Linked DNA regions of Astyanax mexicanus. The protein of the gene in region 1 binds, or shares a complex with, the protein of each later gene. Links are inferred from orthologs where the notes say so. Each region holds a gene or a part of one and is shown on either strand. Other genes may lie near its edges. The genes, in order: b9d2, tmem216 and mks1.

What was found.
Region 2: b9d2 (region 1) and tmem216 share a complex: the UniProt entries of both Homo sapiens proteins name them as parts of the tectonic-like complex. The link is inferred for Astyanax mexicanus from reciprocal best matches to the Homo sapiens genes B9D2 and TMEM216.
Region 3: b9d2 (region 1) and mks1 share a complex: the UniProt entries of both Homo sapiens proteins name them as parts of the tectonic-like complex. The link is inferred for Astyanax mexicanus from reciprocal best matches to the Homo sapiens genes B9D2 and MKS1.

The regions. Positions count from the first base shown.
Region 1 is NC_064424.1:5,650,341-5,654,098, reverse strand, and holds the start of b9d2 (B9 domain-containing protein 2), read right to left. Parts: upstream 2,550-3,758; 5' UTR 2,318-2,549; intron 304-2,317; 5' UTR 298-303; coding exon 210-297; intron 71-209; coding exon 1-70. UniProt on the Homo sapiens protein: Component of the tectonic-like complex, a complex localized at the transition zone of primary cilia and acting as a barrier that prevents diffusion of transmembrane proteins between the cilia and plasma membranes.
Region 2 is NC_064417.1:38,793,403-38,797,160, reverse strand, and holds the start of tmem216 (transmembrane protein 216), read right to left. Parts: upstream 2,217-3,758; 5' UTR 1,998-2,216; coding exon 1,973-1,997; intron 811-1,972; coding exon 797-810; intron 680-796; coding exon 586-679; intron 496-585; coding exon 403-495; intron 1-402. Other genes in the region: uncharacterized protein matr3l1.1, read right to left, coding at 2,901-2,957, 3,054-3,169, 3,297-3,444. UniProt on the Homo sapiens protein: Part of the tectonic-like complex which is required for tissue-specific ciliogenesis and may regulate ciliary membrane composition.
Region 3 is NC_064408.1:26,070,466-26,074,223, forward strand, and holds the start of mks1 (Meckel syndrome type 1 protein), read left to right. Parts: upstream 1-1,180; 5' UTR 1,181-1,251; coding exon 1,252-1,436; intron 1,437-3,727; exon of another isoform or gene 3,728-3,753; coding exon of another isoform or gene 3,754-3,758. Other genes in the region: mrm1 (rRNA methyltransferase 1, mitochondrial), read right to left, coding at 1-105. UniProt on the Homo sapiens protein: Component of the tectonic-like complex, a complex localized at the transition zone of primary cilia and acting as a barrier that prevents diffusion of transmembrane proteins between the cilia and plasma membranes.

The DNA.
Region 1 (3,758 bases):
TCACCTATCTGGGGCATGTCCACTTGCGTCTGTCCTTCCTTCAGTCCAGAGAGGAGCCTCCATGCTCCTCCTGATGGGCAGATTGAGAGAGACACAATGAGAATGAAACTAATCCAGGTTTAGATTCATGAACAACAAAAGCAAACACCTTGCAACCAAAACTAAAAAGATTGGAGGGATGTGAGATAAGATTAGAGACGATTGGATACCTGTGTGAACACCCCACTTGCAGAACAAACTACTCTGAGGGAAACCGCTGGCCCCGACAATCTGTCCGATTATGTGCAGCTCTGCCATAAGACTCTGCAAAAGATTGGAAAATGAGTTACATCTGAAGATTTTTTTTATATAAAAAAGATGAATAAAGGAAAAGAAAGAAAGAAAGGCAAAAATAATAATAAAAAAATACATACAAAAAGACATTTTTCTTATTATAGTATAAAATAGGTCTGTAGTGTGAACCAGTTTACAGTAGACACTAAACAGTAGGTTGGAAATCAGTAATTAAAATGATAGTACTAATCAATCAGCTAACTAATATCAACATAATATACCCCACAATTCACAACAGCGAAAATGCAATAAAAATAAATAAATAAAATGAATAAATAAAATAAATAAATAAAACATAAACCTTACAAAACTGTTTCTGAATTTAATTATATATCTGATGTAGAATATCTTGACAGCAGATCCACAGAAGAAAGCAACAGTGTAATCTAATAAGTCAGCTACTCTTTCTGTACATATGGAAGTGATTACATATATATGAAGAGAGCCAATATATCCATTAAACCCACAACTGCTGTTCTAAAGAGAAGCATGCGATTACATCTCACTCAGATTTCAGAAAAGAGCATTTCTTTTCCATCCTATATTTTAGGTTTAGAGGAATTTAAATCTAAATCAGTGACCTCATGATTCAGTCATAGTGGTGTTTATTGCGATTCTCAACTGGTGGGTCAGGACACGGACACGTTCTGGGAGGGTTACAGACAGCTTTATAAAAAAGAAATACATTTAAAATATAAATTAAATGAAAAAATAATTCATGCTGATCTGATGTTGTACTGTCCTTTATATTGAGGAAAAAGAGAGAGTTTCTTACTTATGTACTCAGAATGCAGAGATATGCAAAGAAATTAAATATCTTATTTTGTGGGCTTATTTTTTGTTTTGTGCAGTTTTGATATTTAATTTTATTGCAGTAACTTTTAAAAATGTAGTTGTCATGTTCCTCCTCAGTTTCTTCTTTTTTAGAAAATGCTCTTAAACTCACTTTGCATGCATATGTATGTTTAAATGGGTATGTTAAAACATTAATTTGTTTGGTTTGTATTCTATAAAAGTGGGTCACAACTTAATGACCACGAGAAAATGTGGGTCCCGGGCTCAGACCAGTTGAGAACTCCTGAGCTAGATAACTCACTAAATGGTCATGTTAGTCAAAAATTGTTTAAACTACATAAATGTAATAAAAATACTAATTTAATAAAGAAATATGAATAAAGTCTGATTTACTATATGGAATATGGAGCTAGTTTTGTCAGGATAATTATATTATGGACACCATATGTTATTATATTATTTTGGCAGATCTCAACATTATCCCTTTCTGAAAAGAAATTAGGATTAGGATCCGATAAACTATATTTTTCTTTGAAATGAAAATCTCCATTTACAATGCTGTGTAGTCCAAGACTAGGCTTAATCCCTGTATGTCACTGGGAAAACTGCATTGCTTTTCGATAACATGAACGAGCAGATTTTAATATTTAATATTTTTTAAAGTATGCTTAATTAGTTTAGGATATTTTGGAGAAACAAAATAAAAGACCACTTAAAATGATGAGTTTCTTTGATTTTGCCAAATTGAAAACCTCTGGAATATAATCAAGAGGAAGATGGATGATCACAAACCATCAAACCAAGCTGAACACCAAGGAGTAAAGGCATAAAGTTATCCAAAAGCAGTGTGTAAGACTGGTGGAGGAGAACATGGGAAGATGCATGAGAAAACTGTGATTTAAAACTAGGTTTTTTGGTTATTCCACCAAATATTGATTTCTGAACTCTTAAAACTTTATAAATATGAATGTTTTCTTTGCAGTATTTAAGGTCTGAAAGCTCTGTATCTTTGTTGTTACAGGTGATTCTTAGCGTTAGCTCACTTTGGCTAGGCTAAGGCTAAGCTAAACAGGTAGCTTAGTCAGAAAACTAGCTTAACTAGCCTAGCCTAGCTTATAAAACACAGCCTATCTGTCTATAATAATATCTAAGCTATCTGTATTACCACATACAGTGAGGAGTATAGTACCAGCTCACCACAGGCGGATCATTCAGCAGAGATCTGCTGGAACACGGTGCTGTAGGTAAGTTTATGTGGATCAGAGCGCTAATCCTGAGCTCAGTGTTTACACTGCTCCACACAGCCCGTCTCCAGCCGCTCCTTCCCTTAGTAACGCGCAGACTCTCTAATACACAGAGCTCCCACTGTACTACTGACAATCTGCTGCGGGTCTTTACTCAGACACCAGAGGGCCTTTAAAATTAATACTTATCTATTTAGGGTAGTTTATATCTGCTAATCTACTTTTACTTGGATTGCTATACGGAGCCCCTAATGTGACTTCATGTTAAAATGAAAATCAATAGGTTTTTCCTATTTAAGACCAGCAGCTAGTTTGGGACCAAGTCTCAGCTAACCAACCAATCAGCACATATTAGCAGCAATGCTAGCGCCTTTCAATAGGAAAACACGTTTATTTTATAACAATAGAAAAAACACAGGTAAAGTTTATTTTCTTGTTTAGTATATTCTTCAATATACTTTCTAAAATCAAATTAATATCCCGGATAAGTAGTTTTGCACTCTGTTTAATTTGAGTTTTTAGCCGTTTAGCTCCATTCACCCCATTGATTGAGGATTCACTCGCGGGCTCCCCCTAGTGGTTAGACGTATTTACTGATAGAAGTATAATAGTGGGGCGTCTCGCTCTGTCTCGCTCTCTCTGTTTGAATCTGTGGCAGGAGAGATGCAGCTCTAAAGCTCTTTGCTGTCGCCTGCTGTTCAGGACCCATTGTTTTATTATTATTTTTTTGTATTAGAGCTATATTAATAACAAATACAATTTAAACATTCAAGGACAAAAAATAATGGTACCAGCAATCTGACATATTAATATAAGAAAGTTACAAGAAATTATCAGGCAGAAACAAACCAAAAGAAATAAAATATAAAGAATATAAAAAGAAAAATGAATAAAAAAAATAAATAAACTAAATTAATAAGAAATAAGCCAGAAAAAAAGTATGACCCGTGCTTTTTTTTAAAACAATACACAATACACAAAGTCTTCCTGGTTTATTTTTAATTATTTTTAATTATTTTTTTTTTATTATTCTTTCTATATATAAATAAAAAATAAGTAAAAAAGACTTTCTGTAATGTTCACTTCATGTAAAATCGCAAACAAATGTGTATATATGATGAGAATAATGTATTAAAACTTCATGTTTGTATATTTTGCTAAGCCTGCAATAAAAAATAAATTAAAAAAATTCCCATACTAAAAAAAAATATTTTAACTTTAATAAAATACTTTTTGTGAATAAGTTGTAATTAAATTGTTCAATCAGTATGTTAAATTTGTTTTTTCAATATCAAGAAAAAAACTATAAATACCGAAAAGAACAAATTATTGTTTTAACATATGTTTTGTCCTCCACATTGCTATTTAATTCGTTATATTACACAG
Region 2 (3,758 bases), on another chromosome or scaffold:
AGAAACATCAGAAGTCCTACAGTCATTAAAAATGCTACAGGTCTGAAATACACTCACAGACAAAAACAAAACAAGAAAAATTTGTGTGAATGTAATGTAAATATATGTAGTAAAATTAGATATTAGAGTGAAAGCATACTTTTAGTAGTAAAAACAGTACATAGAAATAGAAATAATGTGCACACTTAAGTGCATCAGAGGCAAGTCTATCAGTTAATGATCTCTCTGTGAGAAGTACACTACCCAAAAGTAGCCTCTGAGACCAATCTTATAGGGAAGCACTTTTCATCTTTAATAATTTAACTGCCTGCCTGAGACATACCAGCATGCTGAGTCTACAGCAGTTTTTTTTTATTAGTGTGTGTTAAAATATAGAAATAAAATTCTGCGTCGTACACTGACCGTAAAACAGTCTGAGGGTTTCAAGGCCAAGGTAGAGAAGAAGCAGCACAATGTCAAGTATGAGATTTGATTGCGGGTATGGGAGCAACACTCCTAAAAACAATTAAAAACAGTATGTTTGATGGTATTATTGTTAATATAAAATACACATATCAGAGCAGAATACTTCTTGTGATACTTTACCTTTATAAATAAACATTAAGATCTCAGCGATGAAGAACACAGCAAAATACCAGCTGTTTAAATAAAAGAGGACCTGCAGGGGTGTGGAGGACAACTGAGATCTTCTGTTAAGAAGACTAATAATAGACTGTTATATTACTCATTTCCCTGAGACAACACAGGAGTAAAGAAAGACAAGCAGGAAAGAGATAATATTGCACTAAAAGGATACAATGGGGTGCTTTCCTGGAAGAGAAAAAATAACAAAATGTAAAAATCTAGTGCATTACAAAAATTTAAATAAAAATCAGTTTTACAGAATACTGATAATAAATTAATCTCAAATTAAGCACCACAAACTATTAGCAGAGGATGGAACTATACTGCAGCATTGTCATTGGCCTGATTCTATATATTTGATGATAATAATAATACTTATACTAATAACTTAATTTTTTACTTTTATATACCTTTTTATACATAGAAACAGGCTCTAGGTACTACAAACAGTAATAAACAATAAACACAGCAAGACAAATACAACAGTATATAAACAAATCTAAATTGTAATGAAAAAGAAAATGAGAGAAACAAGATAATTATATGAATAAAATTTCATATAATATATATATATATATATATATATATATATATATATATATATAAAAATTTCGAAAACATACTACTTCATCTATTTTGCAAACAACAGGAATTTACCAAGACTGTTGATTTTTTTAACAAAATAAATAACGTAGCAACAAAACATAAAAATAATGTCTTAGAGCAAACAATTACAGTAGCTAGTAAGCTTAAATGCGCACAATATGGACTGTTTTAATCTTACATATCCCAATATTTTGTATGATATGATATAGGGTCAGCACATTCCTACTGTGCAATTACAGCTGCTGCCATATAACTTTTAGTGTATTTAGATATATTAATATTTCTATCCCTTTTAGATTATTTTGCCTAATATATGTGTAGCTATATTTTGTTTGTTTCGCTTTGTTTAGTGTAATGGACTGGAGTGTAGTAATTATCTGAGCTTCACTGAACGATAAGAAGAATCATTCGGATATGCTTCGCTGTTTCTGCTAGAACAGGAACTGTAAAACCGTCTAAAACTTTTCCACTCCAGGCCTGATTTATCTCAGAGAGCAGAATTATCAACATCATCCTCACACAAACTCGGGTTTGAGGTTTTAGTCCCAACAGAGAGAAAGAACAGCGTCTTCTCGGAAAATAACAGCAGAACAGCGGGAGAAACGCCGTTTATCTGACTGTAAAATGACCGGAACAATGAGTTTACTCGTCCTAAACCTGTTTATTATATATTAAATATATTTATCCGGTAATTTTAGCCTCTCTGCTTTAACTAGTTACTATCAGCTTGGATACGTCTTACCGTGGGTCGCCATTTTGGATACCATGGAGACGGCGTCATCCTAGGGCGGTAACTGGACAGTTGTCCAATCAGAGTTCGGGGACCTGCTAGCGTCTGACTTAAGTCCATCCAATCAGAAACAGCGTAAGAGCGAGAGCGCACACACGCACGAGGACACGCTTTCAGTTTAAAAGAAAAAATAAAATTGGGGTAAAACTGAGAAACATCTTTTAATGCAATTACCAGCATGTTTCGTAATGTGATTTCATTTATTGCGTCAGTGTTCAATTACCCAAATTCAAAAATCTTCTAAATATAACTAATACAATTATAAGATATCTATATTCAATCCAATTATCTTAAATATATTAATGTAGGAGGGTTATTTCAGCACGCTGGTGCATGCAAGCAGAAAGAACACTCAGTAAACCCTTATTTTTAAAATTTCCTCTTGCAAAGACATCAATCACTAATCAGTAAACCAGGCCAATTGTTTGCCTAAAAGTATTCTAATTTCTATTATTCATTAAAGTAATTAGACGCTGCACTCACCCAATAAAGAGCAAAGAACTGGAATGTGATACTATTATCTTTTAACATTTTACTATTAACATACATTTTACAAACCAGACACGAAACAGTTTAAGGGACAGACCATAATGAAAGTTTTATTGTATGTCTGTAGTGCTGAATCAGTCACAACCAGCAAATAGTTGAAGGAATACTTTTAATATGGCAAGACAGAAAGTAACAGCAGATGAATGTGTTCTAGGATCTAGTAAGATAAAAAAAAGGGGAAAAAAATATGGCAAATGAATCAGCTTACTGAAAATACATTATACCAGTATAATATACATTATATCAGTATACTGCACTAACAGCTCATGCACTATCAAATACTGTATAGTACCAAGGACATCATCTCCTATAGCTTCAGTTCTTCCCAGTGTTACTCTCTGGTCATATTTTCTCTTTGTGCTTTTGCCTTCTCCTTTTCCAAGTGTTTCTAAAAAAAAAAGAAAACAAAAAAAAAAAAGTCAGATTTTTTATTCTTGCATGCAACATATGATAAATTAAAGCTATTTTAGCTGTAATAAAGCACCTTAAGTTTGTTGTAGTGTGCTTGGCTGCTGCAGTGGACCTTCTTAGCGGTGTCTTCATTTGAGTAAAAAAGGAAGCAGACTCTGCAATAATATCCCATCTTCACAAACTCTGCACCTACAAGAACATCAAAGGGCCAAAAGTGATGTACCCTCATATATACATTTATTATTATACATATTTGTTTCCTAAATCTCTATTTAATATATTAAAATGTTCTTTAACGAAAACACTGTTGGCTTACCCACTGGGACATCAGGTTCATATGGCCCCAGACTGTCTAGGGTAGTTTTTTTCACAGACTGCACAGGAACAGTAAGACCTTCACTGTTTTCCTCATTCTTAGAAGGTACACCGGAAGGCACAACAGTAGCATCAGAATCGTCATTCTGCTTAACAGGGCACAACCAAATAAAAAGTTAAATCCAAAAAGGTTATTTACATGAAGAAGAGAAAGATACATACCTTGGTTGCATTTATCATAGAACACAGAATTCACACGTTAAATGACACCCCACAAAAACCCCGTCTTATGAACATGTTAAACATATGAACACTTGTGCTTTATTTGAACAGCACTGAGAGGTAAAGCCTGAATTACTAAAACTTGGTTGAAGTCAACGTATCACCTAATAGCTGATATTTCTGCTTTTGGCTGAAGTAACCTTTATTAAAAAGTTTCCCATTTAACAATCTCACCTGGGAG
Region 3 (3,758 bases), on another chromosome or scaffold:
TGTTAGGAAATCTTCAGTTGGTGAAAATATGTTATTCCTAATGAGCCTGGAACATCTGCCTGAAGTCCTTAAAGATTTGAGGTGAATTAAGTTCAATTTCCACATGATTCTGCTCGAATTAAGCCACTGTAGTATAATAACTCTTAAACCACGTCCTGTCCTCCACTCTTTAAACTCCAAAAAATGAATAGAGGGTAGTAGTTAGTAGTTAGCAGTAAACACGTTTAACTAGCTAAGCTAAATAACATCAGCTAACTACTGTATCTCTATAACGTTAGCTCTCAATGGATTTACCATGGCTAGCTGTCTAGTTAGCCAACGTAGCTAACGTTACCACGTATTCATTCAGTATGAATACGGTTTAGCTGGATAAAACACATCGTTGTTACAAAAACGGTCACCTAAGTTTGTTTTAAATCAGACTCCAAGCCATTTAGTAACTAACTAGCCTAGCCTAGCCAACTCTAACGCTACTGTTACTGAAGCGAAGCTGGTTCAGGGAGAGCCTGCCCACAGCTCCACCGTTATAATCAGAAAATGACCTCAAAACGCTAGAGGGAGCCCGCGAGGAAGACCTCAATGAATGGGAGCGAATGGCGCTAAACGGTTAAAAACTCTAATGTAAAATATTTCCTAACTGCTTTACCGAAGTATTCTGTTACATTTAGAAAGTATACTGACGTGTTTTGCCAAAAAGCTAAATAAAACCTACCTATATATTTCTATGTTTCTCCAGCAAACGGATTTTAAGCAGTAATCACGCTAGCATTACAGCTAATGTGAGCTGATGCTGGACAAGTTATAATAGTGCATCTCAAATAAAAAATAGAATATTAATGAAAAGTTACTTTATTTCAGTAATTCAGTTAAAAATGTGAAACACAGTATTACACACAGAGTGATTATTTTAAGTGTTTATTTCTTTTATTGATGATTATGGCTTACAGCCAGTGGAAAAACAAAAATATAGTACCAATATAAGACCAATTGGTACTTTTGGCCGTGTGGGCAGTGTGCCTGATGGAAAATGAAATCCGTATTTCCGTAAAAGTTGTCAGCAGAGGGAAAAATGAAGTGAGAAAACACTACACTGACTTTGGACTTTGGACACAGTGGACCAACACCAGAAGATAACATGGCTTTCCAGACTATCACTGATTGTGGAAACTTCACTCTAGACCTCAAGCAGCTTGGACTCTGTGTCTCTCCACTCTTCTTCCAGACTCTGATCCCTTGATTTGCTAATGGTCAATGATGGTTTGGAGAGCCATGTCATCTGCTGGTGTTGATCCAATTTGTTATATCAAGTCCAAAGTCAGTGCAGTGTTTTCCTGGAAAATCTTACAACACTTCATTCTTCTCTCTGCTGACAGATGTAATGGAGATGCGGATTTTATTTTCCAGCAGGACGTGGCACACTGCCCACACTGCGAAAGGTACCAATTGGTCTTATATCATATTCTGAGACACTGATTTTTAAGTTTTCATTAGCTGTACACCATAATCATCAACAATAAAATAGAACACTGTGTGTGTAATACATCTATATAATATATGAATTTTACATTTTGAACTGAATTACTAAACTTTTCAATGATATTCATTTTTTTTAGATGAACTAGTATAGCTAGCAAGATACCTGAGTTTAAAAGTCTTAAAATTTAAACTCAGGTATCTTGTACTCAGGTATTTTTGTACTTAACCTCTTCTATTATTTGCACTTCAATATTGTAAGTCGCTTTGGACAAAAGCGTCTGCCAAATGTAATGTAATGTAATGTAATGTAAAATTGGGGTTTAAACATTTTTATGTCTTCGGTACTAAAACATCTGAAGTTCTATGAAAATATAAAACTTATTTATACAAACATTCATAAACTATGATTTTGCTCAAACGCTAAAGGTACCCATTCATTTTTATTTTGGAATCACCCTGGAGCGCCCTCTGGTGTCTGACAAACCCGAAAGAGACCACTGAAGTAGGTAGTCTCCTCTGTAGAGGGTCTCTGACAAAGCAGCATTTAAGCTTTAGCGCACACGCACGTGGAAAGGAGTTCCGGTCACCTTCGCCCAGATCCCCCAATAGGAGCTCTGGTTAATGGGCGCGCCTCGAATCGACTCCTTGCCCCCTACGTAGTGAAAATTCGAACACCCCTTTTTTAGGGTTGGGTGGGCTTTTTTCTAAGGTGGCCGAGTGAAATGACCAGCCCGGTATAATACTATGATAAATAAATAATACTTTATTTATTTATTTATACATACTTTGAGAATAATATTTATTCTTCATTTTATTTTAGCTTTAGTGTTTTGAACACTGGCATGCTGTTTACTAGCAACTGCTTGAAAGCTGGATGTCAGTCAAGATCAGTGACTAATCTAGTGCCCATTATGAACAGAGTACATTGTGTTTAGCTAAATAACCACAAACATCTTTTTTTTTAACCACAAACATCATTAGCTATCTGTGTTTGCATTTATGACTTAAACAGGCTACCTACACTTGTTCCCTAAAAAAGTCAAATTGAGACTTACCCTTTGTTAGAGTTTACGCAAAGAATCTTTAGAGGGGAGAATACCCACTCGAGAATTTGTTACGGCTTTGTCACAGCACCAGAGGGCGCACCTTGACTGAGTCCAAAATGAGTGGATTCTTATGGAGGAATTTAGAAAAATCAGAGTTATAAATGTTACTTTCTATATTTAAAGAAATGCCTTGAATTGGGACTTTTTCACAAATTGATTATTGTGTTTATCAAAACTAGATTGGCTTCCAGTCTATTTTAGGATAGATTTTAAAGTACTGCTATTAGTTTTAAGGCATTACATGGATTGGCACCATCATAAATTACAGATTGTCTATCTCTATATGTTTCAAGTCATTGTTTAAGATCAAGCACTGCAAGTCTGCTTACAGTACCTAAAATTAATAAGAACCAAAAAGTGGGGGGGGGGGGATTATGTTTTTTATGCACCAAAGAAATATAACAGCTTACAAATAGAGATTAGACAGAGTCAGAAAACAGTTTCAAAAAGTATCTGAAGACATATATCTATAATCTTTTATTTTAATAATTGATTTGTTCATTTTATCATATATTATTTTATAGTTTGTATATATATTTTATATCTGCAATCTTTTGCAATCTTACTTTACTTTTTTATTTGCTCTTTTTGTCATTTTACACTGCATTTCTATTTATATATTTTTATTATTGTTTAACGTTGATTTTATTGCATTTTATCTAGTAAATTTTAATTTACTTGTTTCTTTTATTACTTTTCTAAAGTTTTAACCTCTTAGCTCCATTTACATTATTCATTTAGGACTCGCGGGCTCCCTCTAGCGGTTCCTTGTCGTTTAATGCTGCAGCGATTCTGCTTGTTAAATGATCAGGCTCTCTATAAACTGCCTCTTGCCAAAGACTTTTTACAGGCAAGACAGTTCACTTGACCGCCATCTCGCGACGCTTATGATCTTCTCGTGCAAGACCAGCCTCCTATCTGTTTGAATGGGAAGAGACCAAAATACTCTAAATAGAAGGCATAATTACAAGTTTAACATCATATTTTACATTACTGATAAAATTGACAAATATATAATTAAAACAATGTTTAACGTTTTTTACAAAAATGTACAAAAAACGTCTTTTTTCGGTTTGTTATGGCTACTGCGCCTGCGCACAACTCCACACTTAGCACTAGCAGCAAGCTGAGTGGCTCTCATTAGTACAGCGGTGAGTGGTCTGTCTCCTCAATGAT